4 separate regions of the Mus musculus genome follow, and all the other regions are reported to be linked to region 4. The links are microRNA targets in miRTarBase. Many come from high-throughput screens and were not tested one by one. Region 4 holds a microRNA gene; each other region holds the end of a gene's coding sequence.

Region 1 (7,119 bases), not on the chromosome of region 4:
AGTCAGAATGCTAAGGCGGGAGGATTATGTGTTAGGATCCAGCCTGGACTAAAGAATGAGATCCTATCTCCAACTAAAACTAAAAACAAGCAGCTGGGGGCTATAGTGAAGTGGTAGACTACTTGCCTGGCATGTGTGAGGACATGGCTAGAAGCACCTCTGTAGTAAGCTGGCCTGAGGCTTATAAGAACTGGGGTACTCTTGGGAGGCAGGCTGGGGCTGAAAAGAGAGAAACTAGATGGTCGAGAGAAATAATGGAGCCAAGACAAAGGTTTTGATCAAGGCCCATGAGTTTATTAAGAAACCGTGTTTATAAGGGGGTGGAAAGCTGCACCACAGGTGGCCCCACCTCAATGGTGACAAGATTTGTACCAACCCGCTTCAGGCTGGGGGAGCCTACACACCCCGACCCCGTACCATCAAAATGAAACAACAAAACCTTATTCTGGAGACCAGGTTTGGTGGCACACACTTAGAGTCCCAGTGTACAGGAAGAAAAAGCAGGCGTTTCAGAAGTTCTAGAGCGTACTTGACCATATACACAAAGAGTTCTGAGGTCAACCTGGACTACCTGACTCAAAACTCCCAAAACAAAAAGCCAGCCATCAGTGAGTCATTTGTCCCATTAGAATGAACCTGAATTTATCTACACACACTATGCCAGCTGGCAGCCACTCCAGGTTTGTACCTCTCTTCTTTCCCATCCAAGCTGCCTTGGAGCAATCAGACTTTAACAACTCCTGTTGCCCTGCCCTGCCCTGCCCTGTCCTTATGCCCCCCTCTCTGGGAAAACAAGATAAGACTCTCATGGTTTATTCATTTATTTAACACTCGTGTGCCTCATGCCTGGTGATTGCCAAGTCCTGGAGACCGAGATGCAAATGGAACGTGTTTCTTCATTCCGAGAGCTATTGATCTGAAGATGGCCCTCTGAAGATGTAGCAGAGGTAAAAGATAACAGGGAGAGAGGTACATGCTGGCTGCATCTCTAGCAACCCCAGCACTCCAGAGATTATCTCAGAAGGATCTTGGGCTACTGAGACTGTCTCAAACAACACAGCTTAGAGCAGACAATGTAACACCCTGTCTTGGTCTTTTGTTCGTTTTTTTTTTTTTTTTTGTTTTTGTTTTTGTTTTCTTTTCTTTTTTTTTTTTTCCATTTTTTATTAGGTATTTAGCTCATTTACATTTCCAATGCTATACCAAAAGTCCCCCATATCCACCCACCCCCACTCCCCTGCCCACCCACTCCCCCTTTTTGGCCCTGGTGTTCCCCTGTACTGGGGCATATAAAGTTTGCAAGTCCAATGGGCCTCTCTTTCCAGTGATGGCCGACTAGGCCATCTTTTGATATATATGCAGCTAGAGTCAAGAGCTCCGGGGTACTGGTTAGTTCATAATGTTGTTCCACCTATAGGGTTGCAGATCCCTTTAGCTCCTTGGCTACTTTCTCTAGCTCCTCCATTGGGAGCCCTATGATCCATCCATTAGCTGACTGTGAGCATCCACTTCTGTGTTTGCTAGGCCCCGGCATAGTCTCACAAGAGACAGCTACATCTGGGTCCTTTCAATAAAATCTTGCTAGTGTATGCAATGGTGTCAGCGTTTGGATGCTGATTATGGGGTGGATCCCTGGATATGGCAGTCTCTACATGGTCCATCCTTTCATCTCAGCTCCAAACTTTGTCTCTGTAACTCCTTCCATGGGTGTTTTGTTCCCAAATCTAAGGAGGGGCATAGTGTCCACACTTCAGTCTTCATTCCTTTTGTTCGGTTTTGAGAGAGGGTCTCACTATGTAGACCAGGCCTTGAACTCATAGAGATCTGTCTGCTTTTGTCTCCCCACTGCTGGGATTAAAGGAGTGTGGTGCCACATCTGGCAGCTCTGTGAATCTTATGTGCTTGCTACTACATAATCCCAGCATTTGAGAAATGGAAGCAGGAGGGTTAGGAGTTCTAGGCCAGCTCCAGCTACATGAGAATGAAGCCAGCCCAGGTTACATGAGACCCAGAAGGACCTAGTTGTATATTTGCCTTTTGAGTCGCTGTGAACATTCATTCATTAATTTCATTCACTTCCTCAAGTTCCCCTAGCAACAAGTGACTAGGCTCGGACAGTAAAATGGAAAAAAACAAAAAAGCAAAACCCACAGTCTTGCTCTCTTTGGACTAGCAGTCTAAAAAAAGAATTACAGCTATTAAAGAATAAATTAGGAATTCAGATTTGTCTCCGTTTTCTTTCTTCTTTTCTTAGGAAAGGGTGACCTTGATTTCCTAATTAGTACATTCACATCTGGCTCTGAAGGTTGTATAGAAATAAAAGTGGCCGGGCGTGGTGGCGCACGCCTTTAATCCCAGCACTCGGGAGGCAGAGGCAGGAGGATTTCTGAGTTCGAGGCCAGCCTGGTCTACAAAGTGAGTGCCAGGACAGCCAGGGCTACACAGAGAAACCCTGTCAAAAAACCAAAATACAAACAAACAAAAATAAATAAATAAAAGTGTAGCCGCGCTGAGAATGAGCCCCGTGTGGTTGGTGCGAGCCAGGTCGCACTGCCTGCGTCACTATGTGAGCTGACGGATGACGCCCCGCTGCACGCCGCTCAGCTCGCCCCGGAGGGGTCGCTTCTTGGCGGGCTAACAGTGACTTGCGGGGGAAGTCTACGCGCGTGTGCACGCGGCACTCTCTGCCCGTGGTCCGGGGACTTTCCCCTAGGCGAAAGGATAAGGAACATGTCCCTCGTATGTAGCCTAGGAAACAGGCCTTCAGAGCGAGCTGCCTTAGCTTCTAGGCGCGACTAATTTATGACTCTACAACAGGCTTAATTTTTTGGTTATGGTGAGAAAATTGGTCTCTCTAGGTAGAAAAACAATGAGCCATTGTTTTAGGCATGATACTTTATCCTGAAAGATTCTGGAGACATAATTGTTTAAGAAAGCTATAAATAGATAGGTCATTAATTAATGTAGGAACGCTAGGTGGGCGTGGTTTATGCAAATATTGCTTAAACCCATCCTGAGATGGGCGTGGCCGCCTTAAGGGACTCAGCCCCCCCGATGTAGGCGTGGTCTCCTGCGCGTGCGCACTACGGCCGGAGGCCCAGCGCTGGAACGCGGGGTACCCGGCGTGCGATTCTGGTGGGCCAGGCATGGAGGGCGCTGGCCCCGTGTTGAGTATTCTGGGGCTGCTGCTTGTGTCTGCGCCTTTTGGAGTCCTTGGGGAGCGCCCCAGCGCCGATCTGGGGGCACACCCAGGTACCTGCGAGAGCTGCTGGAGGGAGGCTGGGACTGCCTAGTAGAAACTGACCGATGGCTTTAATCCACAGAACGGGGCTCCCAGGTCAGTCCGGGAACCACCGAACCTCGGCGGCAGCCGCCACCCAAGGATCAGCGCGAGCGAGCCCGGGCCGGATCGCTGTCTTTGGGCGCTCTGTACACCGCGGCCGTCGTGGCTTTTGTGCTGTTCAAGTGTTTGCAGGTGCGGTATGGCGGTGGGTTGTGGGAGCCCTGGGCCTTAATCTCCTGGGGCCGCTACAGTACCAAGAACAACCGCTTCCCGGCTACCTGTAAAATGAAGGCTCGTTCCTTGGTTTTTCCACATTATTGGGGCATTCGAGGATCCAGAGAGATAATGGATGTAGGGGGCTGAGAAATTGTAGAAACCGTTACTTTTACTCCTCTCTCCAGTGACGATCGATTTTCAATCTGGAGCTCATCCACTTAGTGTCTGATGTAAGTGGGGTTTTAACCCAACTAGTGTCAGTATGCAAAAAAAGAAGTTGCTGCTGAGGCTCCAACCTTGGCCCAAGGAGTTAATCGCGGCAGCAACAGAGTGTCTAGTGGACCAGACACCAAGCCGTTTCGTGCTCTCCTTAGGAAGGAAACCCTGAAATGTGAACTGACTGTACATTCTGATTACTTTGAAACTGTTGACATGGAAAGTGGAACCTACCACCCAGTGCTTTATCTTCAACTCTGGTCAATTACTTGCACAGGGGAATAGAGGCTGAACTAATTAGTAACATAAAACTAGATGAGATTAAAGAGCCAGGCAGACTTGACAGGCTAGGATGAAGATTGGAGTTTAAAGATAGATTAATAAATTCTACCCAGGCGTAGTGTTAGACGCCTTTAATCCCAGCATTCAGGGGAGACAGAGGCAGGAACAGCTCTTGTGAGTTCGAGACCAGTATTTCTGTCTTATGCATGGAGAAGAATACATAAGCAGTTGAGAAGAGGAGCGGGACCCGTGGAAGAGAGGTAGGCATGGCGGCTGACAGTTTCACGGTGTTATGATAACCCACTTTCCAATTAAAGGTTCTGAAGGAGGCTTGTGCTTTATCTACCTATCAGAGCACTGGGAGAATTGTATCCTAAAAATAAACCATAGGGCACTGCCTTTTAGAGCAAAGAGCACTATATAGACTTTTTGTTGTTGGGTTTTTTGTTTTGTTTTGTTTTAGATTTTTAATCTGTAATGGGATAATGTGAATTGAACAGATTGGAGATTTTTTTTTTCACCAGCAAAGACTGAGGGTACAGGAACTGGTGACACAGTCCTATTATTCCAACTACTATGAGGGAGGATTGTAAGTGCAAGGCCCATCTGGACAATTTAGCAAGACTCTACCTCAAAGGCAGCGAGGTATAGGGATGCTAAATAAGAAGGCTGGGGTAAGAGCAATCTTCCCGTCCCTACTGGAGAGTTTCACATTCCCAGGAGTGCTTTAGCAGTCTGGCCATGTGTGGGCATCCTGACGTTTCACTTCATGTTCTGGGTAAGCAGCTGGACTAGAGACAACTGGGATTCTCTGAGGTGGATGCCCAGAGCTTTCTCTATGGCTCCTCTCTTCACTGGCTCTGAGGTGCTGGGGCCTTTGCTGCAGCCTTGTCTTTATCTGCTTCCACAACAGGGCCCAGATGAGGCTGCTGTTCTCAGAGAGGAAAAAAACAAGAAGAAATCCTCGCAGTCAGGTGGGTTGAGCATTTAGTGGTGGTTTCTGGCGATGGAGTAGATCAGGGGACTGCAGGAGTAACCATGCCCTTTCCCTCACTCCCAGAGCAACAGCTGGTGCAGCTGACACAACAGCTGGCCCAGACGGAGCAGCACCTGAACCACCTGATGACACAGCTGGATCCCCTTTTTGAACAGTGAGAATTTGTGGGGTGGGTGAGGTGGGAGCCAAGGAGACAGACTGGGCAGCCCCCTGAGTGGGTATTTCTACAGGGTGACGACTTTGGTTGGAACCCAGAGGGAACTTCTAGACACAAAACTAAAGACCATCCACCACCTTCTACAAGACTGCCAGCCTGGCACAGGAGTGGAAGTTCCAGAACCAGGTAAAAGGTTGGGAGGTTTCTATGGCTGGAGAGCCATGGCTGTGAAACTAGAGCAAGTTGGTCTCTCCTTCACAGAGGCCAGCATACCCTTTACTGAGGACCTGGGGAAAGAAGACCAAGAAGCTGGAAACAGTCAGGCCTGGGAAGAGCCCATAACCTGGAGCCCAGAAACACGGAACCTAGCTCCTTCCTGGGAGGTGGAGCAGGGGCTGAGGAGAAGGTGGCACAAGACGGTGACAAAGGGTCCAGCAGTAAATGGGGAACAACCACTGAAGGTTTAGTAAAAAGAGTCCCCTCGTACTGGGTGTTCCTCTGTGCTTTTTCCACTCCCTGCTACACACACACACACGGTGCAAAAGCCAAGCACTCTTCCCTTATTAGGAAGAGAGAGACTGCCTTCCAGAATGTGAATGGAGAAGACAGAGAGAGAGCCACAGTTCTGCCCTTGTGTTTCTGAGGCTACCGAGATGCCAGCCATCAAGGCTCAAACTCCATTTTCTCGTGATTTAGACAGGAAGGCTTTTGCAAAAACAACCCTTTATTAAGATCCAGTGGGGAAATAAATTATAGAACATAGGAGGTAGTTCAGGAGGATCTGGAGTTCAAGGCCACCCTGGACTGCATGAAACCTTGTCTCAAGAAAACAAACTATATACAATAGCCAGGTGTGGCAGCACACACCTATAACCCAACACCTGAGAGACTGAGGCAGAAGGAATTCAAATTCATGGTCAGCCTGGGTAAGATCCTTTCTCAAGAATAAATCAGGAAACCATAGGCAATAACAACAAAATGGACTCCTTTTCAAAGCTGCAAATGGGATTAACCGCTGGCCACAGACAGCAGGGGCTTTTCAGGCCCCCCAGTGGCAGGGCGTTAAAGGGACTTGTTCCACTGAGGCTCAATCGAAGTACATTCCCTTTTGTTCGTGGCTCTGCCCTATTCCTGAGTATCCGAGTTCTGGAATTTGTAAGATTCTTCATAGGCACACCCAGCTGCCATGTGTATCCCAGGATAGCTGTGAATATGGCCCCAGCATGTTTGTAGATGACAATGTCATGTTGCAGTGACACTTCTGTGGGTCGAGCTCTTCTGGCTTCTGTGGGAAGAAAACAGTCTGGTCACCGGGTCAGTCCTCAGTCACCCACGGGGTGGGGGAGGGGCTGTGAGGGACGCTGCTCCTTCTCAGCACGGCTAACCTGATAGCCAGAGTCAGGCTGTGGTGCCACTGTGACAGCTCCTCCTGGTCAGTAGACATAAGCAGTAGCTTCTCATGGGGAAAGGACAGCTAAGGAGAAACCAGTTAGTTCAGAGCAAGTCAGGCTGGGGCCCTCTCTGGTCCCGTGACACTAACTCAGGGATAAGTGTGAAACCTCAGCCCCAAAAGGGAGCTAGCTCAAGTGATGGGCTGGTCTACAACTACTTCAAGTATATTTTGGGCCCAGATTTCCCATCTACTACTTACACTGAGCAAACCACCACAAGGTCCTCCCGAATGGCCAAAGACCCTGCTAAGGTGACACTGGGACATAGGGTACAGGGCTCTGCAGACAAAGGTGCCACTCTTCAGCAGGTGCAGTGGGGGCCGAGGCTTGGCCATGAGGAGCACGTCGGAGAAAAGGAAGAACATCCGGGGCCGAGGCTCCCCAGTGGGAGGCACCACTAAAAGCCAGCCCTGCCGTAGGAACCAGCGGCCTTGAAAATGAGAGCACTGTTATTGTACAGCTCAAGAATCCGTAGGAACACAAGAGAGACAGGACGTTGGGGAAGGGGTAATGTTAC
Region 2 (7,099 bases), not on the chromosome of region 4:
AGAGGAGTGTTCTACGAACCTCCATGTATCTCTCCATCAAGTCAAGTTGAAAACTGAAAATTAGCCACCACACCAGCTAAGCATTTCAATGTTATTTGTTTGCTGTTGTTGTTGTTGCCAGGGTAGATTTAATTTAGAGAAAAGTTGCACAGGGTACAGAGAGCTCACAAATGACCTTCACCAAGTTTCCCTTCATGGCATAACTAATGTATTTGTGAAGAGGAAGTGTGTAAGACTGACCCAGTACTGACTATGAGCAAATGTTAGACTTGGTTCAGATCTGCCAGGTCTTTTCCTGTCCCAGAGTGTTGCACCTTGGGACTAAGGCTCTGGTCCTCCGTGTCTCAACAGCTTTCCCAAGCTCGGCGCAAAATGGAGGATTCCCTTTTCTGCTTCTCTGCCTGATGTGAGGAGCCTGGCTCCCAATCTTCTATCTGAGGAATGTCACATAGTCCTTGACAAAATTACAGGTCGAGTTTCCTCTCTCCAGATAAGAACCTACCCAGCAAACACCTGGGATTCCTGGAGTGCCTCTCCATGCAAATGAGGTGTTCCCAGAACATTACACCTCAGCCACGAATCCTCACCGTATGAAGCCTCAATGAGCTAAGAAGAACTCCTTTCCACCTCCAAGGTTCATATATTGCCCTTGATTCATCTGACAAAAAAGTGTATATGCACAAGCTGTCTCATTGAATATCGTCTAAAAGAACTGCTTTACTGAATCGGTCAAGAGAGCTGGAACACTAAACTCCTCAGTAAAGCCCCGCCACTCACACCCAACCGGACAAGGATCCGGCAGACTCCACCCAATCCGGGCTTCAATTCATCCTCCCAGCCTGGTGTGCGGGCGGCACCTGGACACCCTGAGGGATGAAGTGGAACCAGAGAACAGCAAGGACCCCATGATGTGCCGGCAATTCAGCTCCTTGTGACGTCAGCTTTTAGCCTCACTTTGCCCTGCGTCCGGTGGAAACCATGCCCGTGACGGCCTCTGCTTTAAGCTCCGTGAGGGAAGAAGGGGATTGATTGTAGAGGCGAGTACGGAGGGTGGGGGGGGGGGGTGCGGGAGAGGGGTGTGTGCTGGAACGCTGAAGCTCATTCCAGCTGCTACAGTGTCCCTGTTCTCACCAGCGTGACAAGCATCACCACCAGGATGCAAGAAGGTCCGTCCTCACATGGAGAGAGGGAAAGAGGAAGGGAGGGAGGGAGGGACGGAGGGACGGAGGGACGGAGGGAGGGAGGGAGGGAGGGAGAAGCTCTCTGGCATGCCTCTCCTTGTCAAAACACACTCAAGACTCTCCCTAAGGCTGGTTACCTCCCAAAGGCCCCATCTTCCAATACAGTTGCAAAGAAGTTAGGGTTTAGCATATAAAAGTGGGGGACACAGTAGTGCAGACACTTCAGTCTTTACTGCAACCCCAATGAGTGTGTGGGTGCGTGTGAATGCTGCCTCAACACCCAGGTTGGGGAAATTCATTGTAAGAACCCTCCTCAGTCCTGAGACACCCCGCCCCCTACATTGGGTCCTCCAGTCCTGATCCTGAAAACTCATCTCTATCAGATAGCACCTGCCTTGTGTTCTTGGTCCTCATTTCTCCGGAAGTCAGCCTGCCAACCCAATAGATGTACAGGCACACGGAACTCACAGGCTGGACCCTTTCACAAACACCACTAGGTGGCGATAGTTCCCGGAAGTCCCTGTACCGATTTTACTGGTAGCCTTCTGAAAATCAGGCTTGAACTAATGAGACGCTGGCTTGAGGACAGAATGACAGAGCCATTTTTGGAGTTTAATGGAGCGCACATTGATGCAGTACTGTAGCTACACGGGGCCAAGCTGTCTAGGATGGGGGTGGGGTGGAGTGGAGAACATGGGGGGAAGGTCATGGCTGCTTGGAAAGCAATGGACTGTATGGTGATAGGGCTGAGTAGATGCTCAGTGGTAACACGCTTGCCTTCCAAGCACCTGGCTTTGATCCTTAGAACTCCCACTTAAAAACAAAAAGTAGGGAACAGCAGCCACACACTTGAAATCCCGACTCTGGGAAGTCAGAGTCAGCGGATCCACAAGATCACCAGCCAACCAGCCTAGCATCTGCAAGAGAGCCTGCCTTTTAAAAAGACGGTGGTTGAGAGCTGGAGAGATGGCTCAGCCACTAAAGACTAGACTCACAACCAAAATATCAGAATGGTTAGTGACACCTGGGGAATGACATCAGAGGTTCTCTGGCCACAGACACATGCACAGAGAACACGTGTACCAAAAAAAAAAAAGACATGGCCAAAGGGCAGGATTTGTGATCTGAGAGAACTCACTGGAGGTCTTGACTTCCTAGTGTATGAAGCATGCCTTCCGTGTATCCCCAGACTCTGTAGTGAGAGCTCAGGGCTGAGGCCTTTGGTTTACCCTTGTTAGAGCGTACACAGACATAGATTGTGGCGCTTCACCCATTTTTAGGAACACAGCTCTCGGGTATCAATGCTGTGTGGTCAGCACAGCAGTCCGCCTCCCGAACTTTTCATCTTGCCATAGTGAAAGTCTGTTCCCATGAACGATAACTCCTAATTTCCCCTCCACACCCCACACCCCCCCGCCCCAGCCTCCCACAGCCTCTTCTCCATTTCTACCTGAGTATTTCTAAGGACCTTGTGTAAGTGGAGTTTACCTTGTGGCCACATGGTCATGTGACCAGGTGTGGGGTTTCAGAAAAACTGGGCAGCAGAAACAGGTTCCGGATGTGCAATTACCAAAAGTTAGCTCAAAAATCAAACACAGCGTGATTCTGAGATCTTCTGTGGCAGTGTTTGTACGAGTTGCCTTGTGGTCTGAACACACACGAACACTGCACGGTGCACGCCATCACGATATGCAACACCAGTGAACACACTGATTTACCTCTGCTCAGATTTGATACTATTGAATGTCATGAACTGCGGTGACCTTACTCTCTTAGAGCATATTATGTTTAATTACTGAAAACAGAGACTTGTGATATTTACCTTCCATTGTCCCAGGCAAGTAAGTATCAAATTTGTTTATCTTTAGATGCGATTGTGTTAGACAAAAAATAAACACACCCCTCTCAAAAGCAAATTTATTTTTTATCCTTAATAGGTGATAAAATGCTATGCATGTCAGAGAATTTTTTTAATTAAATTTCTTTGTTATTTATTTTTATACATATTTTATATTTCTACATAACATTTCTCAAGCAAAAAGTGGTCGTGAGTAGAAAAAGCTAAAGAATTAGATCAACTGACAAAATGCTTGTTTTTAGATCTGAGTAAGAGCCCCAGAACCCATGCCAACTAAATTGTTTGCAGAAAGAGGAGACAGGCAGATCTCGGAATGGCCTGCCTAGCCAGCCTAAACTACTTGGCAAGTTCCAGGCCAGTGAGAAACTCTATCTCAAAAACAACAACAAAACAAAAAGGCGATGGCCCCCCAGGCCTACACACATACACCCCAAAACCCATTCTCCACATCCCTTTTGCTTGTCGTCTGTGGGTTGGAGCCTAGACCGCTTTCTCTGGCTCTTGCCTTCTGTGCGCGTTCTCATACAAATTGTGTAAGTCTTTCTTTCGATTTCTTTGGCTCTCTACCTGGGAATGGGACTGCTGAGTGACTTGGTGACCCGAGTGTGACTTTCTGAGAAACTGCCAATTGTTTCCACTTTAAAGTGCAAACTATTTGAGATGAAAGAGCCCAGCACTGGTGCAGGGGTGATGGGAAGTCCCTCAGGAGATTGAAGCCACCTGGGCTCGCACTGGCCTCCTGGTTATGCAGTTTATAGCTCTCCCTGGAGATGACGGATCAGATGTGTTTGTGATTCAAAGGCCTTTTCTGCGTCCAGAGCCACACGGCTTCTTGGTCTGGGTAAATTGTACTAGAGCCTAGAGTTTGGCACAGAGAATTTATTTTTCAGATTTCAGAAATGGTGATGGTGTGTGCATACGTTTCTGGTTCCATTCATAGGGCCTGAACTCCAAACATGATTGCGTCCAAGGACTGAAGGAAAAGCCAGGGGTTTTAATTGAGAAGGCAGGAAATAGGATATCACAGAGTCCCCACCAACACAGACCAGAACTACTTAGATCACGCCAGGCATGCTGGGAGAGCAGGGAGCAGGTGACCCCATCAGCTGCAAGTCGGTTTAGAATCCCTTTTCTTTTTGACTTTTAAAAAAAATATTTGGGGCTGGTGAGATGGCTCAGTGGGTAAGAGCACCCGACTGTTCTTCTGAAGGTCCAGAGTTCAAATCCCAGCAACCACATGGTGGCTCACAACCATCTGTAACAAGATCTGATGCCCTCTTCTGGAGTGTCTGAAGACAGCTACAGTGTATTTACATATAATAAATAAATAAATCTTTAAAAAATATTTGTTTGTTTGTTTATGTATTTATGTGTGAGTGCTTTGTATATGCACACCTGCACACCAGCAGAGGGCATCAGATCCCACTGTAGATGGTTGTGAGCCACCATGCACCCTGTGGTTGCTGGGAATGATCTTAACCATAGAGCCATCTCTCCAGCCCCTGTTTTAGAATCTTAAGTTCTGTCTGGGTTCAGATCTCAGTTCTTCTACTTCTAGATGGAGCAGAGTTTAACTTTCCCCAAAAATTTTTTTTTCCATTTGTAAATTAGGGACATTATGGAGACTGTGTAAAACAATTTGGATAAAATAAACCCATGCGGGCGAGACGATTCTCATGGGGTCAGAGGCACACCCTTGATGAGGATGGGATCTGCCCTTCCTCGGGTCCTGAGAACAAAATCCAGGGGCTCCGTTAAGTTGGGAGAGCTGAGGCTCAGTTATAGCTCTGTGTGCAAAGCTCTAGGTACAATCCCAAGGAATCCCAAGCGCCCTTTCAAGAAGGCCTCTCAAACAGAAATCACTTAAGAAAGCATTCTCCCTCTCCTGGTTTCAGAAGTCTACTTTAAACCATGAGGTTTTGATACTATTTGTATGTGATCGCCCTAAAATTACCTTTGGGCCAGTGAAATGGATTAAGCAGGTAAAAGTAGTTTTTTGCTGGACAAACCTAACGACCTAAATTCTATCCTAGGACCTATGAAAAGCTGGAGATGGCGGCATGCATCTGGAATCCCTGCACTCTGTTCATGGGCCGAGAAGTATAGAAAGGAAAATGCCCCAGGAAGCTTTACATGAGAATGTAACACAGCGGCAGAAATCACAAGATACTTTGCCTCAAATGAGATAAAAGATGAGAACTAACTCCTAAAAGTTGTCCCCCAATTTCATCAATGTGTGCGAGTATGTACACACACACACACACACACACACACACACACACACAATTTTTTTTTAAGTTTAAAGTTACCTAATTTCCTTTCTACCACTTCCTTTGTGTCCACATCAAATCTGGGGAATCTGGTAGACACGACTTTTCTAGTAGGTATGAAACCGTGTGTCTTAAGTAAGGGACTCTCAGCACTTTAAAAATAAAAATTAACTGAGCCCGATAGGTGGGTGGTTCAGTGGTTAAGAACACTGGGTGCTCTTCCAGAGGGCCTGATTCCCAGGTTCCATGTGGACGCTCACAACCATTTGTAGTTCCAGTTCTAGGAGATGGGATACCTTCTTCTGACCTTCATGGACACTAGGCGTGTATGTGAGACATACACGTAGGCGGATCACTCATATAAGTACAATTATATTTATTAAAGGAAAGAAAACAAAAACAACTAGCCATGGCAATACAAACAGAAAACCTTGAGTATCCAAGCAAAACTCTCCCAGGGGCCATTTAGAAGCAAACACTTCTTTTGAGGGCTCACTTTTATTTACTTCAAAGGGTTCGCCCTTTAAGGAGGCCCATAGTGTTAAAAGCAGAAGCAAAGGGGAGACACTTCAAGAATACAGCCGTGTGAGCAGAGATCACTCTCATTAACATGTAGGACATGTAGAACACTGCATGTTTGGTAAGTGTGAAAGGATTCAAGGAGACAGACCTTCCTCTCTTCCATCTTTCCTAGCGATGGCTATGGCTGGGACAGAGGTAGGCTTAGCTCAGCCTCTGCTCATCCTTGTTGATGTAACTCAATGAGCCGACCTGCAAACACAGCCAGCGTCCCGATGAGACACACCAGCATAAAGACTCCGAGGAGGATGTGATCCATCACCATGGCAACATACTTCCATTCCTCAGCGGCCTGGGGGAAGCAGAGGGCGTTAGATAGGAATCCCCTGAGATGGGACACAGGCTCATAGCGCCCCCTACTGGCCTGGCCTTCAATATGTAAACCTCCAAACCTCAACACCTGATATTACAACCTTTAGTTTTTGCATAATTAAGCCAAAATGACTTACTATAGTTGCCAGAGATAGTCAACACAGTGCATCTGAAGTTAGTAACTAGAGCTTGAAGCCAATTCATTGGTCAACCTCCCTGTCACACTTATGCATTTAATCATTTAGACCCAGAGGTGTGTTAGCTTAGAGGTTGTGGCGCAAACCTTTGGTCTTAGCACTCAGAAGGCAGAGGCAGGCAGATAGATAGACAGACAGACAGACCCGGAGGTGTGGACTGGGAGCCACACAGCTTACGTTATTGGACTCCTGGTCTGACTTCATGGTCTCTGCAATGTACTTCACGCCCTCGATGGCGCTTTTCACCTCAGGGTGCTTGATCAGCGGAGAGTGAAAGCCCATAGGTGGAGGACCCGGCTTCCCAGAGATGTCAGATATATCTATGTCTTCTGTAAAAATCCTTTTCTCTTGTTTATCTCTGGATGGTCTTTTCATTGTGGAGAAAAACATGATGTTTGGGATAGTGTCGATAAAAACCTGACATAAAAAAGAAATTCTTGGCATGAGACTTTTTGTCAGTATTTACAGAATCACTGACTTTGGGTAAGCAATGTGATCTTGGACAAGTCACCCAGCATTTCTAGACCTCACCCTCCTTGTCCTTAAAACAAAAGGACTGTACTAGAGGGCAAAGGCTCCAGGCTGCATTCTACAGCTATGATTCTGTAATGTAAGCAGTTAGCCACTGGAGGGAGCCTGTGTGCAGTCGCCAACGCTGCATTATACTTCAGACTCTTCCGCAGGCAACAGAAAGTTCCTGAC
Region 3 (7,113 bases), not on the chromosome of region 4:
ACACATACAAAACGCTTTATTTCACACCATTTACATTCACACGGAAGAAGAAGTCCTCTTATTGATCTTCCTTCTCGATTTCGTGGGAGGAAGCGGAGCTGAGCCAAAGCCACACAGAGCAATGCTGACAACACACATCCCAGACAGCAACAGAACACAGCAACGTTTTAAAACAGGCCTGCTTTGAGGTCTCCTACAGCTCTCTAGAGTTCAAGACATTCTCTCTTCATTTGATAACTGCTGGCCAAATTCTCCACTATTGAAGGAATGGTACCGATGAAAATGCAAGACACATTTGTTGACTTGGAAACCCACTGCAAATTAATTTGCTGAAAGTATCAGACCAGCAGAGGGCGCTCTGACCCTTGCAATAAAATTCTACAGACAGGTTCGGAAGACAGCAACACAAATTTGGATTGCTAAGCCCATGCACTGGCCTTCAACTGCTCTGTCCCTAATAGGCGACAATTTGGTATTTACTTCAAAGAGCAGGATACACTACAATGGGCTAGCTCTTACATGAAGAAATCTTTGGCTATTTAAAATCTTCACATTCTCAAAGAAAACTATTCTGAGTTCAATATGAGTGCTAGATTTGTCTGAAGTTTTGAAGTAAAGAGGGTTAAACACGAAAGTTTAAAGATGGCATGTGTGTCACTAAGGCCACAGTCCATTGTTTTAGATTTGTGGATTTATCGAGGCCAACCAGCAGCCTGAAAAAATTGAAATGCCCAAGGGATCCACCTTGACTTTTGTTTGTGAGAACATCAGGAGACAATTCAGCTAGTTCACAGAAGAACATGTGTCCATTTGGATGTTGATCAGTCTTTGGTTTATTTAGCACACACGGTCCTCACATTTTCTCCAAGGTCACTGCTGGCCAAAGAACCGCACACCAGAGAATTTCTACCCAGCAATGACTTTGGGTCACTCAACTGTCTCTCCTTTCTCTGTAGATTTTCCTGTCTGCCTCTTTAGAGGTCTTACAAGAAGCACACTCCCACATCCTCCTCCTTCCCCCCTCCTCCTCTTCCTCTTCTTCCTCCTCCTCCTCTTCCTCTTCTTCCTCTTCCCCCTCATCAATGAACACATATCAAGTGGCTAAAGAGCAAACAGCTCTGCAGTGAGGGTGAGCATCTGTAATGCCACCAGTTTAGAGGATCTGGGCACTGAGGTTCAAGAAAAAGCCATTTGATTATGAAGGACATAGGACAGGGAGAGAGTGAGTGAGTGAGACAGGCTCTTACAGAACAAGGAACTGATTAAATTAATTAAAGTCCACATCTGGGATCTACATTCACTTCATTAGTTATGGGATGATAACACCATGCCACCACGAAGCTCACAGTGGAATAAAATAGTTCCCTATCTACAAGATTTTAACTAGCACTGTCTGACCCTCCTGAGAAAGGCCTGCTGTTGGGAGCCAAGTATCCCAATCTTCTTCACAATCAAGACGTTTTAACTCATGACTATTGACTCCCTTCAACACCTGCTCTCCCTGGGACTCATTGGTAAGTTCCGAGCCCAGGGGAGGGGCAGTTTTCCACATAGACTTTCTCCTTAGCTCACCCTGCTTTGATCTGGGATCTTGCCTGCTGTGGATGTCCTTCAGGGTACTGGTCGTTTCCCTTGTGAAATTCAGCCATCACCCCTGCTCCTCCGTCCTCTCCCAAAATGGACAGAAATACTGCTCAGGAAATCAGGCAGCCCAGTCTTTGAAGGGCAGTGCCTCTGCTCCTCTTTGCCGTACGTTCTTTCCAAGAAGCATGGCTTGCTAAATGTTAAGGACCCTGGGAAGATGGCAGAAACAGGTCACGCAAATCCTGCTCTTGTGCGAATGTGGCCTATTAGGAGGGGACCAAGGAACAGGGTTTAAGGAAATGGGGTGTAAGATAGGGAAAGTGTGTGTGTGTGTGTGTGTGTGTGTGTGTGTGTGTGTGTGTGTGTGTGTGCAAGGAAGGGAAGGGAAATTAAGAATGCTATGGGGGCTGGTGAAATGGCTCAGTGGTTAAGAGCACTGACTGCTCTTCTAGAGGTCCTGAGTTCAATTCCTAGTAACTACCTGGGGACTCACAACCATCTGTATCTGGGATCTGATGCCCTCTTCTGGCTTGCAGGTGTACATGCAGATAGAGCAACTCATACATTTAATTTTTTTTTTTTTCTTCTACAGGACATCATCTCCCTGGCCTCAGTACCTCAGCACTGCAGAGACTGGACCTTCTCTTTGTAGATTGCATGATGATCTTTCCTAAAATTTTTGAAAGTTTTTATTTGGTAATTTTCATGGTGTTCAGCCAAGGATATGCATTCAGTGGACAACTAAATGCCATTAAATGCTTATGCAATCTACTTCAGCACCAACTAAGCTTACACCAAGAATCTTAGGCAGACTGATGTTCTCTTTTGGTTCTGGAAGTGTTGTAGTCCCAGGAATGTCTGGGCTGTAAAGAAAATGGCCACTGGGCACAGCCATTCTTAACAGGCTAGACCCTTGAATACCCACAGATGAAAATGTTAAAGCAACAACAACAACAACAACAACAACAACAACAACAACAACAAATCTCTGGAGAGAGACTTGCTTCCATGGCCAGGATGTCACACACAATGTTGAAATAGCTAGGTGCCTCTGGTACTCCTCCCCACCTCTGCCCCTGCCTCCACCCAGTATTTGTCTCTGTAGCTGTCCCAGAACTTGCTTCATAGACCGGGCTGACCTCAAACTCACTGAGATCCACCTGCCTGAGTGCTGGGTTCAAAGGTGTGAGCCACCACTGCCTGATTGCCTCTGATACCTTATCATCTCCTGTCTCCATACTATATCCATCCCTTGGGTGTGTGACCAGAACTGACCTTGAAGGCCCTGCCAGACCCAAGGCTGTTCTTAGGAGGCAGCAGCCCTTTAGAAGGATTAACCACGCAGGAGGAAGCCATTCTGAAAGTGACTCTGAGGGAGTTCAGGGCTCTTTTCCTCTCTCAACCTTGGACAAAGCTGAAGAGAAAGCTGCTCGCCATTCACCACATAGAGGCTGGATGGCCACAAGCTCAGAGATCCTTTCTCGGCAATGCCACACAGACCGGGTATGTGGCTCGGCCTGCGGTTTCCTGCGCCTTTCCTGTCTCTGAGTTCTACTGCTTTAGAACGGGGCAGCCACAGGGATGAAGAACTATGGGTTGAGGTAAATTCTCTTTGGCTAAGTGTCACATTAAGAGTCTTGGGATTAGTCATAGAAGTGAGGGGTGTAAGTCTCTCACATGAGTCTCAGGGTTTGTCATAAAAGTGAGGGTGTAATTTTATTTCAGCACCAAATCAGCATGGTTGGTTGTCTTGTTGTTTTTTAACAAACAGCTCGTCAGAGAAGCAACAGTTGCTGAGGACAGTGGACACTGTGTTTAGAAAGTTGATAAAGGCTATTTGAACCGCTATTACTTATGGAATAAGAACATCCCTGGCTGTCTCCTTAGGTAACTTGGCTAAAGTCTGTTTTTCTTTTGGGGAAAACCTGAGGTAATCTTATCCTTTTTCTCCTGTCACAGTCAGGAGAGCACTTGTAAGGATTCTGGAACATTTCTTGGGCTGTGCTGCCCGGCTGGTGGCCACTAGGCACATGTGGCTACGGAAAGCTTGAACTGTGGCTAGTAATAATGATGATGTGCTGGGCGTGTAAAAGACAGCAGATTTAGAATAGGTAACAAAGAATAGAGGAAAATGTTTTCCTGACACCCTACATCATTTGCACATCAAAACAATAATAATATTAGATTAAACTGCTATTAAATAATTTCCACCTGTTTCCTTTTTGCTTCTTAAAATGTGGCTATCGGGAGTTAGAAAAAAAAATGCATGTGACTTGGGCTGTATTTCTGTTGGACAGAGTTGGTGCACCACTTGCTCCAGAAAAATGCATGCCTGTAAATGCATAGTCAGTGGGCACTCCTGGGCTGCATAGCCACGTGTGGCTCACTGGGTCCTCAGGTCAGGGCCTCCTCATCACGGAAGGCAGCAGCAATGTCTATAGTAAGAGCTTTGCCAGTTATCTCAAGAGGAAAAACTTTCTTTTAATCTTTCTTTTGCCATGAAGGTCACAGGGAAGCCCTTCAAAACTCTTTGGTAAGCAGAGACTGTCAAAGGCTCAGGGAGTTTGCCACAGGGTCTCCTTGGAGTCAGATCAACAGGCTAAGGGTGGGCCTCTTGGGCTCCTTAGCATCCTGTAGGGTATTAGGTCAAGGACTTGCTTATATAATCAGCGTTTACCTGGCCACTGGCCAGAAAACACCTACCAGATCTTTTTCTGTCTGGTCATGCAATGTAATTTTGTATTTCTCTTGTTGTTGAATTACCCCAATGTCATTAGACTAAATATTAAAATTTCCTTTGTGACTCAGTTGTTTTCACAACACAGATCCCCCCTGGAGAAGTGCAGATGTGTCACCTGAGACAGAGGGGACAGTGAGACTCATCTTCGAAACTTCATTGGAGAGAGTCTGGTTTAGCACTCACCTGCTTCCTCGCTACGAAGCATCTCAGGCCTTGGAGGCGGGCATTAATTATGGGATGTGCTAGACCTTTGACAGAGGTGATTTTTCTGAAGCTTGTTATCATTTTCCTTGCCTTGCTCTCTACCATCGAATAGGAATGCATTAAAAGTAGAAAGAAAGGAAGGAAGGAAGGAAGGGAGGGAGGGAGGGAGGGAGGGAGGGAGGGAGGGAGGAAGGAAGGAAGGAAGGAAGGAAAAGGAGCAGTGGAGAATTCCATCGCCCTGGACTCAAAATTCCAGTGGGCAGCATGGATTTACAGCTCACGAATGTTTGAAAGATATTAGTGTAATGAGGTGGAAAAGCTCAAATCAAATACATAAATACAGCTCAGTGGGAAGAGCTTGCTTTCCTGATAATCCCTGCTCTGTATGACCTTGCCAACTGCTAGGGAGGAGGAGGAGGAGGAGGAGGAGGAGGAAGAGATCCTTCTGATTGTCCAGAGGGACACAGGTGGCCACCTATGTCTCTGGAATTGCTGCATGTATCACAATACTGTCTACTCAAAAGACAGCACACTTTTGTTATTGTTTCAGACAAAAAGAGAATAAAATCGTAAACCACTTTATAGTACGGTGGGTTTTGATAGTCATTTGTTATTTTCCTTGTAATCTTATTTGATTCTAACTCTCAGAGGAGACTCAATTTAGCAATTTCCCATGATGCACATTTTGATTCAGACTTTATCAGATCATACCTCGTTCTCCTCTTGATACCCAAATGCTCTCAGAAGACCCGAGAAACTGTTAAGGACTTATTTAGATCTTTCCATGTAGGCTGGTGAGGGTTAACAGGAGAGTTCCTGAAATAAGCTTACACCTGGATGCCAGTGACCTAAAAACTGATTTCATCTTTTCTATACCTCGTACCCGTGGAATTCATTTATGAAGGTGATAAACTGCTAAGGCTTTGGAGGAAATCAGGGAGTCAGGCATCTTCCTGGGAAGACAGGGTATCAGGTTTTGTTTTGTTTGTTTGTTTTTTAAACTAGGCTTATAGTTCCACATACTCTGAACTTTGTCATGGTGTCCTTTGGGGAATTCTGAGTTTTAGACTAAGGCCCTCCAGTCAGAGGACCTGCATTCCTCCCTGACAGTTCTCTCCTGCTAAGATGGCCCCTGACAGAGCGTGGCAAGTGGAAGCCTATGTAGTGGAGTGGAAAATAGCCAGCAAGCAGCTCAGCAGATCCAGAACTTAGTGTGGCTGTCTGGCAGCTGGGCTCGCCAAGGCCCACCTATTGGAGGGGTTTAGACACTTGGTAAAATCTGCCTTTCCACTGTTTCAGGGTGCCGAGGCAATCCTCAAAGTCATACACACGTCATATTGATAACTCGCGACTATGAATCTCAAGACGTGGTATAAACCAATCACAGGGCCAGCAACCAGAACTTCTAAGCAGACCTCTGTACATGGGCTGGAGTGGATCAAAGGGAAAACGGAGGGAATCAATCGATGTAAACTACACATCAACTTTAAAAAGAAGTCGCCAAGGGAATGAAACCATTTTTCCCAAACAAGAGCAAGAAGATGGGAGAGGCTGAAGTCAAGTGAAGAAACTGTGGAGTTCTCCTTCCAGTCTGCTGCACGTCTACACAGACACCAAGAAATTCAGCTTTCAACTTCCACATCAAGGCCACAGGCTGTTGTTGCAGAGATGGGAACCCGCATCCTGACTCGGGAGACTTTGGATATTGCTTTCGTTACCACCCTTGAACAGAGTGCCCTGGGGTTGCCATGGTGATCTGAAGGTCGTGTATCCAGTTCAGTCCTTGGAGCATGCTTCCCTCCTGTCCCCCTGGTTCCTATGTCTTCTCTTGTCCATTTCTACCATCTCAAGATTTCACCTCCTCGCAGTCTTGGTCAGTGGAAAGTTCTACATCAGACAGGCCCACTTCCAGTGCCATAATTAATGAGATGTCAGAGTCACTGCTCAGTGCTGGCTCTTGACCACCTGAAGGGGGACAAAGCAAAGTTTATGGTCAACGTCAAGCTATGTCTTTGGATGCTTCCGTTTTGGAATTATTGTTCCTAGTAGTGTTTCTCTTTTTAAGATCTAGGTTTTGTTTTGTTTTTTTTTAATTAAGCATATAATATTGATTGTCACATGAGTTTGCATATGTGTATGTGCACACAAGTGCAGGTGCCTGGTGGGGGGGCATTGGCTCCCCTGGAGTGATAAGTGGTTGTGAGCTGCCCAGTTCAGATGCTGGGAACTGAACTTCTGGCCTCTGGAAGAGCAGTATGCAGTTTAAAACACTCTCCATCCCATCTACTAGCACTTCTTTTTTAAAAAAGTGCTACCCTTCCCAGCATCCAGAGATCATTATTCTACTCCACTCTTCCATTAGAGTTATAAACTTTTCACCTAATAATTTTATTTCCAGAAGTCTTACAAAAAATTGGCTGTTCTGTAAAAACTCTAATTCAAATCTCACCTCAAAATAGAGCCCCAGATAAATTCTAAGTGGGTCAGAAATTTAAATGTGAGCCATTGTGGTAGGAAACTAATAGAGGCTGGCTATGGTGGTGAACGCTTGTAAAGTCAGCACCGCGGAGGTGGAGGCGGGAAGA
Region 4 (7,119 bases):
AGTGTCCTTCCTAGCAGAGGAACCCATGCTCACTCTATGCACCAGAGGCTCCTTCACTCCTGGCCACCGTCCCTTTGCTTACTGCTCACCAAATTTCTTGGTTGATCTGACGCAACTGCAATATTCTTGCCAGGTGTGTAGTTCTTTCCATAGACTTTAGAAGAACTGAGAGGTAGACATTTCTAGTGGCGAAGAAGCAGAATTTCTCTCTGTCTCTGTCCCTTTCTCTGTCTCTGTCTCTCTCCCTCTCAGTTTTTTTTTTTTCAAGACAAGGTTTCTCTGCATAGCTCTGAAAAGCACTCTGTAGACCAGGCTGGCCTGGAACTCAGAGAGAGTCATCTGCCTATGTCTCTAAGTATTGGGAGTCAATGTGTACCCTACCAGTTAACAGTTCTGTCTTTTCCTGAAGAGAGCCTTGGTCTTCTTATTAGATCATTGGGAGTTCATACCCACTCTCGGAGGTTATTTGCACTGTTAGAGGATGCTGCTGGAAAACCCTAATCCTGAGTGGCAGTAGATACTGTTCTTAGACTTTCCAAAGATCCCCACCTGTCTTAGATCTATCTGGAGTTGGATTTCCCTGGTCTAGACATTCCTTGAAGAATGTTATTTCCCGATTTCTCTAACTGCTTGTGGACACTGCAGAATAGTGCTTGGTCTGTTTCCTGTTGGTCTCTTTTTTCCTTTTTCCTTGCTCCCTACTGGTCAGGAGATTTGCTCCCACTAGAGCTCCTCTTCCCCACCCTAGGACTGATGCCACTTGTCAAGGTTGAAGATTGATGGTGGGTGCTGCTGGATTTCTGCACCTCTTCTTCCATTGCCTGCCTCTCTCTGGCTCTGGGATCTGAGAGAATTCTTTGTGTTCCATTCATATTCTTATTTCTTCAAGGTTTTTGATACCCCTCCTTTGAATTGGTTAATATGAGGAAGAGGTGGAAGAGGTGGTGGAAGAGCAGGAGGAGGAATCTGAGGAAGAAGAGGAGAAGCCATTGTTGGCCTCCCTTTCCCAGTTCAGATTTCTAGGAAGACTGGCTTCCCCCTTGTGATCTCCCCACTGACTGATCTTATCCCAAGGCTCCTTTCTCCTCTAGATTGACTCTACTGGGCAGTTTGCTTCAGGTTCATTTAGCAGCATAATCTTCAGCCCATGGGGACAGTACAAGCAGCTCGTTGGAAGGCTGTCATGTCTGGAAGGTGGGGTGGACAGAGCCTTTGAGTATAGCCAGAAGGGGATATACTGATCTCAAGGAACCACCTGCTTCCTCAGCCACCTTTATACCACGCATAACTCACCAGCTCGATCTAGTTCTTCACCTGCAGTGCAGGGGGGTCTTAGCACAGTGCTAAATGGGCACAATTAAGCTCTCTAGGTGACCGTCTCTAGCCACTGTCACTCTTTGCCATCTGCCAGCTGATGTCTACATATTTTTGCAGTGAAAAGCAGTGCCACCCTTTATTCAGACAGGCAAGCAAGAAGCAAGAGGAGGGGGCTCCACGGAGAGTCCTATATTTGGGCCCTACCAGCAGAGTCTAAGGATGTGTTCTCTTTTATACAGTAGATAGCTGTGTGGAGGGCAGGGCACAGCAAACAGTGGGCATGCTAGTCAGAATCTGAATTCTAACAAATGGTTAGCACATTTTATTTTTACCAGAATAACAAGAAGCTTCTAAGACAGGGTGCGGCTGGGGTAAACAGGCGAGGAGGATCCAAGGGCAGAAGATCCCAGGCTGAGTGAGAATCCTGGGGAATCCGGACAGCAGCAGGATGAGGCGGTCCAACCCGGCCAAGATGGTGAGCAGGAATGAAAATCCAGTCTTGTGCTCTGCTCTTCAAACCATGTGCCTCCAGAAGAACTAAGAACCATCTGGACCCTCTGTGGGGGTACATGATTTGGGGAGCAGAGCATAGTCTTGGTGAAGGCCTCTTCATTTGCGTGGAATAGCTCAAACTACAGCACATCAGTGTTATCCTCCCCAATATTGGAGCTCAGAAGACCGAGCTGTTGAAGACTGACTGGCCTACACCCTGTCATCTTTGGTTTCAGAGCATACAAAGGCCGGGTCAATGGAGAACCTGCTTGGGTCACCAGAGCAATGGGAAGCTGTAAGATTAAGGTGAAGATGCAATTTCTTTCTTTCTTTCTTTCTTTCTTTCTTTCTTTCTTTTTTTTTTTTTTGAGGGAATTATTTTCCAGAACTTTCTGCTTACCAAAAGTAGTAGTTTAACTGTGCTTTATTTTATGGTAAAAGTAATACGTGTCTTTTATGTCTTCCAACATCTCCAGTGGACTGCCCTTCATATGACTGCTACTTAATCACTCTGCCCATATTGGATGGAACTCCTATCCAAGCATGCTCTTTGGGGATGCTGTTCTTTCATGTTCTGCACTGGGATGAAAATGAAGCCATGATACCATGATAGTAATCCTCAGTTTCCCTATCTGTATAATGGAGACAGATGAAGGCCCCCTCCTCTTCTTAGGTATCTTGACCTTTCAAAGCCTGTGTTAGCTTTGGTTTTTGCCTCCTCTTCTATAGAAACTAGACAGAAGAAGCTGAGTTAAGGAAAGCTGTGGACCTTTGGGCAGAGGCTGTTGAGCCCCATGCTCAACGTTACAGGTAAAAACCAGGAAAGCGAAACGCAGACCAAAAGGCTCAGGCAAGACCAAGGGAGATGGCCAAGCCTGAAGTCAGCCAGCAGTTAACTACTAACAAGCACCGCACAGATGTTATCTTCATTTCAGAGTGGCCTTTCCAGTAAGCCTCTGCTGACAAAAGAGGGAGGGGCAGGCTGGAAAGAGAGTAAAGACCTCCTGGACCTTGGCCTGACTCCAGAGCATGGCTACCTTGCTGTGGGAAGACAGGCAAGAGGATGGAGAGACAGGGAAGTGGGTGGGGATGCTTTCTCAAGGCCACATTTCAATTAGGACTGCCTGGCAAAGGTACAGGAAAAGAAAAGAGTCCTTCACTTGGTGTGTGTGTGTGTGTGTGTGTGTGTGTGTGTGTGTGTGTGTGTGCTGTTTGTTTCCTTGTGCAATGCATACTGCATTATGGTTTATTGTAAAAGGACAGGATTAAACCAGACGTGGCAATACATTCTTATAATCCCATCACTTGGGAGGTGGAGACAAGAAGATCATGAGTTCAAGGCCATCCTCAGCTGCACAGTGAGTACAAGATCAGCTAGAGCTACTTGAGAATTTGCCCCACCCCCATTTAAAGACTGGATTAGGATTCTGGGTCTCTGCTTCAACTAATTAGCTGGGTTGTATTGGGTCAATTCCTTGCCTTCAGTAAGTCCTGGCTTATTTACATGCAGTTACGTACAATACCAGGAAGAAAACGAAACTAAGAAAAATACTGCATTCAGGCCTATCTCTATCCACTTACTTTCATTTGTTATACCCATTCTGCATAAGGCCCTTGTGAACAGTCAGATTTCTTCCAGACCCAGACTCAATGATTTTGGAACACAGCTATCAAACATGACACAGGAGGAGATTTAATTTCCTAGAGGCTGAAGTCCCAGAGATTCAGGAGAATCTCCAAGGATTCATTCTGGCTAGCTTTCCTGTGACCAGCTTGCTCGCTCTATCAGGAGTTGGGCAGGTTTATTCAATCTAGCTCACTGTCTCTATTTGCTCTCTCTCTCTCTCTCTCTCTCTCTCTCTCTCTCTCTCTCTCTCGTTCGCTCTCCCTCTCTCTCCATTCTCTTGGTGGCATTTATCCTTTATAGTGATTGATGTAGACACTAGGCAAAGGCTTGCCAAGGGAAAATGCAAATTATGTCCCTGTCCCTTTTCCTCCTGCACTGGGATGGCCGAGAGCTCTTCTGTCTGGTGGGGCTGAAGCTGGGAGGGTGTAGCAAGGTAGAGGCAGGGACAAAGTGATCCCCACAAAGTACCATTCATTGTGTGGTTGGGTGAGCTGGCCTGCAACCGAATGGCTCTATTTGTTGAGCTCTGAACCAAGCCTCACATACTGCTAGCAGGAAGATGGGTGACTCTTTCTCTGCCTTGTTATGTCCCTCCTACTTCCCCATGAGCAAAACCTCAAGTGACCAATAGATCATATAGAAATAAGGCCAAGTGACTGGTCCTTTCTACTGATGTCTCCTTTTTATCAAAGCTGGGGCCATTTACCACTACCGTCATGCCATGACAGGCCAATTTTTGAGAGCTCTGCTGAGTCCCACCGACCAGATATGCAGTGAGATGTGAAGCTCTGAGCTGGATGGTAGAAAGCTAATGTAAATGAGCTGATGAAAATGTCAGTCACATTTCCATTCTCCACTCATTCATGGATGACTGACAAGTACCACCATGACCTGTAGGGGGCATGGGACCAAAATGTATCTTCCGTTGAATAATTCAGAACCAATGAGATAACCCTAATGATGAGCTGTGGTAGCTGTAACCTCAGAACTTGCTCATTGCTCGCTCCAATCAGCCACAGTAGACAACTGGTATAGCTCTGCCATCTTACCTGTCAATGAACCAGGAATGCACAGCCACACAATGACTCAGGCATTGCCTCCTCTCCATCACTGTGCTCCAATCTTCCGAGTGCTTTTGGGACACATGACTCATCTTTAGTACGATCTAGGTTAGCTACAGAAAGCTATATGTTCATTTCTTTACAAGCCTGCTCACATTAAGAGTTTCGTTGATTCTGTCCATTTATAATGATAAATATTTTTAAATATACCGAGCATCTAAATTTAGACTTAAGACCAGTACTGACTTTTATATAGACAACTTTCATATAAGTATACAAGGTACTTTGATCATTTTAGTAATTTCTTTTGTATTGGTCACCTAGACTCAACATTTACCAAGACTTTTGCCAGTTTTGTTCCCTATGCCTGTCTCTTCCTTCTCATATAATTGTGGTAGTATAACATTTTCCACTGTAACTTTTTCAGTGTACAGATAGCGTCATTAGCTTTTTAAAAAAAAACAAAAAAACAAAAAACAAAAACCAAAACCCAAAAACAATGGTAAGCCATCTCCAGAAACCAACTCACTAAGCAACAACTCCATATTCCTCTGGCCCTAGTTATGTTATTTAAATGCTATAACATTTTAAGGTTTCCAAAATCAATGACACATCATTCTCTAAATATTTGATAATTTACCTCCTAATACGAGAACAGTAACCACAATGCCATTTTCACATGTAAGAAATTAACAACCATCTACTCTCCACTTGGCAGGATCTTTCCTTTTAAATAAACAAAGGAATCTATGCTTAAAATCAAAAGAATGAGTCACATATAGTCATTTCATAAACTATGAAATGCTATTTTAATAGGAGGCATTAATAATCTTGTTAGATAATTTCGAATGTTTGTTGCAGTTCAAAAATTCAATTAGTGTTTATGATTTTTCCCAAGGGTTCTGCCTCCCAAACAGCTGATGTGGCCAGAGGCTGCACTGAGGCAGGAAGACAATCCCTGTGGGTAGAGGTAATGGCCTTCATTCCAGCCCAGTCTCCTCTCCCCTCACAACTGATTAACAAGAAACAAATACATCAAATAAATCTATACAAGTCTCAGCACCATTATGCCACAAAGGAACATCGTGGCCATAAAGCAGGTTCTCAGACAGAGAGAGGAGCCTTAAATCCTTGGCTGTAGCCAGTGGAGGCTTCAGCAGCATTTTGTGAGGAGGGGGCCAGACTGCAGCAGCTGACTTGGCCATTAGTCTTGCAGAGTGGAAGGTTTAAGAGCTGATGTGGTACCCAAGGCCCTCAATCCCATTTCCAGAACAGTTCCGACCCCACCCTAAGGCAAGCTCATGACTCTGTTAGCACAGCACAGAGCAGACATCTCTCACCCATTCAAGCTCTTTTTTGGTTCTGCCTTCAGATATCTGTACAAAGCTACCAATCACTTAAGACTTCAGCTGCATATATATATATATATATATATATATATATATATATTATCCTAGCCATCTTAACAATCAATTTCTGTATGATTGCGTGGCTCAGCTTTACAGTCTAGTGAAGCCGGGCACCGAGTCAAACATTTTCGTTTTCTTTATTTATACTGTAGCTTGTTTCAGAGAGAAGTTAAAACGAGGAGACAAACATTTAGTAAACAGCCTGGACCAGATGCTCAAAACTGTGCTAGGTGTTGTGGAAAATGCAAAGAAGAACACATGGGTTCTTCCTGCCACCCCACCCCCTTGGGGACAGAAGACTCTCAGGAAGCATCTAAGCCACAACTGGACCAGACTGGGAACTGGGAGGCTGGGCACCAGGCTGGGAACTGGGAGGCTGGCCACCAGGCTTCTAATTTTTCCCTCACCTCCTAGCCAGCTGTGTGATCTTGGAAAAATTATGTCCCTTTCTGGCCTTCAATAACTTTACAGTAACATGGAGAGGTTACATGCGTATGTATATGTGTCTGTTTGAGCAGAGGCAGAACACTGATTCTGAGAATATTGGTTTTCTGAGACGACGTGAGCTGTGAGGAGTCAGGGGAGAGATTAATTGCTTCTTAAAATCTTTCTGTACTTTTTGACTTGTTATGACGGACATGTTGCCTTTGTGACGGAATAAAGCTAACATTTACAGATATGGTTGGATAGAACTAGCTACCTTCTGGTTCAGCTTGAGCCATGGTCTGTGATTATCAGGGATTGTGGGACAAACATTAGAAACAGGAGAAGGGAATGCTCAGTAGACTTTCATAATCAGGGAAAGCTGCCTGGAGGAGGAGAGGCTCTAGGCAGACCTTGAAAGCTGACATGCTTTACATTGGTAGAGACAAGGACAAGGCATCTTTGGCACAAGGTGGGGATGAGTAATAAATTGGCAGGGACCACATACGGAGTGGAGGGCAAAGATGAGAATAACTCCAAAGGCCCAGATGCATCCGAGGTTGGAGAGCATCTTGAGCTGGAGAGCAAGCCTGAGAACAAGAACACATTAGCTCAGCCCTCCTCTCTAGGGGGCGGTCCCTAGGCCCACCTGCTATTGGAGCAGCTGTGCAGCAGAAAGTCTAGAGGCCCCAGCCTGGTGCTCTTGGATCACGGAGTAAGCACAGCACTTGGGGATTTAGCTAATCAATCTCGTAAATTCATCTCCCTTTTACTGGGATCTGTCAGGAAG

The links. The annotated mature microRNA mmu-miR-3475-3p reads UCUGGAGGCACAUGGUUUGAA and lies in region 4 at 1,830-1,850, opposite strand. An mRNA with a match to its seed (bases 2 to 7 or 8) in the 3' UTR can be bound and repressed. Matches are read on the target gene's strand: a 7mer-m8 pairs with bases 2 to 8, a 7mer-A1 pairs with bases 2 to 7 and ends in A, and an 8mer does both.
Region 1: the mRNA of Arhgef39 is a reported target of mmu-miR-3475-3p. Seed matches in the 3' UTR shown: 7mer-A1 at 5,932-5,938.
Region 2: miRTarBase lists Chrna1 as a target of mmu-miR-3475-3p. Seed matches in the 3' UTR shown: 7mer-A1 at 4,319-4,325.
Region 3: miRTarBase lists Rnf150 as a target of mmu-miR-3475-3p. Seed matches in the 3' UTR shown: 7mer-A1 at 2,572-2,578.

What each region holds. Positions count from the first base shown.
Region 1 is chr4:43,490,285-43,497,403 of GRCm38, forward strand. Arhgef39 (Rho guanine nucleotide exchange factor (GEF) 39) reads right to left here. Exons shown (of 12, transcript NM_001013377.3): 10 at 6,803-7,032; 11 at 6,537-6,625; 12 at 5,858-6,436. The coding sequence ends at 6,394. It overlaps Ccdc107 (coiled-coil domain containing 107), which reads left to right and starts at 3,081. Exons shown (of 6, transcript NM_001037913.2): 1 at 3,081-3,252; 2 at 3,324-3,475; 3 at 4,911-4,971; 4 at 5,058-5,148; 5 at 5,225-5,337; 6 at 5,413-5,637. The coding sequence starts at 3,147. The coding sequence ends at 5,618. It also overlaps Rmrp.
Region 2 is chr2:73,560,128-73,567,226 of GRCm38, forward strand. Chrna1 (cholinergic receptor, nicotinic, alpha polypeptide 1 (muscle)) reads right to left here. Exons shown (of 9, transcript NM_007389.5): 8 at 6,575-6,814; 9 at 3,154-6,180. The coding sequence ends at 6,049. It overlaps Gm30940 (a long non-coding RNA gene), which reads left to right and starts at 1,059. Exons shown (of 2, transcript XR_866434.2): 1 at 1,059-1,166; 2 at 5,073-5,251.
Region 3 is chr8:83,082,816-83,089,928 of GRCm38, reverse strand. Rnf150 (ring finger protein 150) reads right to left here. Exons shown (of 7, transcript NM_177378.4): 7 at 1-6,493. The coding sequence ends at 6,375. Among named protein-coding and RNA genes, the nearest start is that of Tbc1d9, 79 kb to the left of the region's middle.
Region 4 is chrX:140,305,723-140,312,841 of GRCm38, reverse strand. Mir3475 (microRNA 3475) reads right to left here and starts at 1,894; the gene lies at 1,830-1,894. The region is part of intron 3 of Gm32113 (predicted gene, 32113); the gene reads left to right. It also overlaps a transcript of Frmpd3 not described here.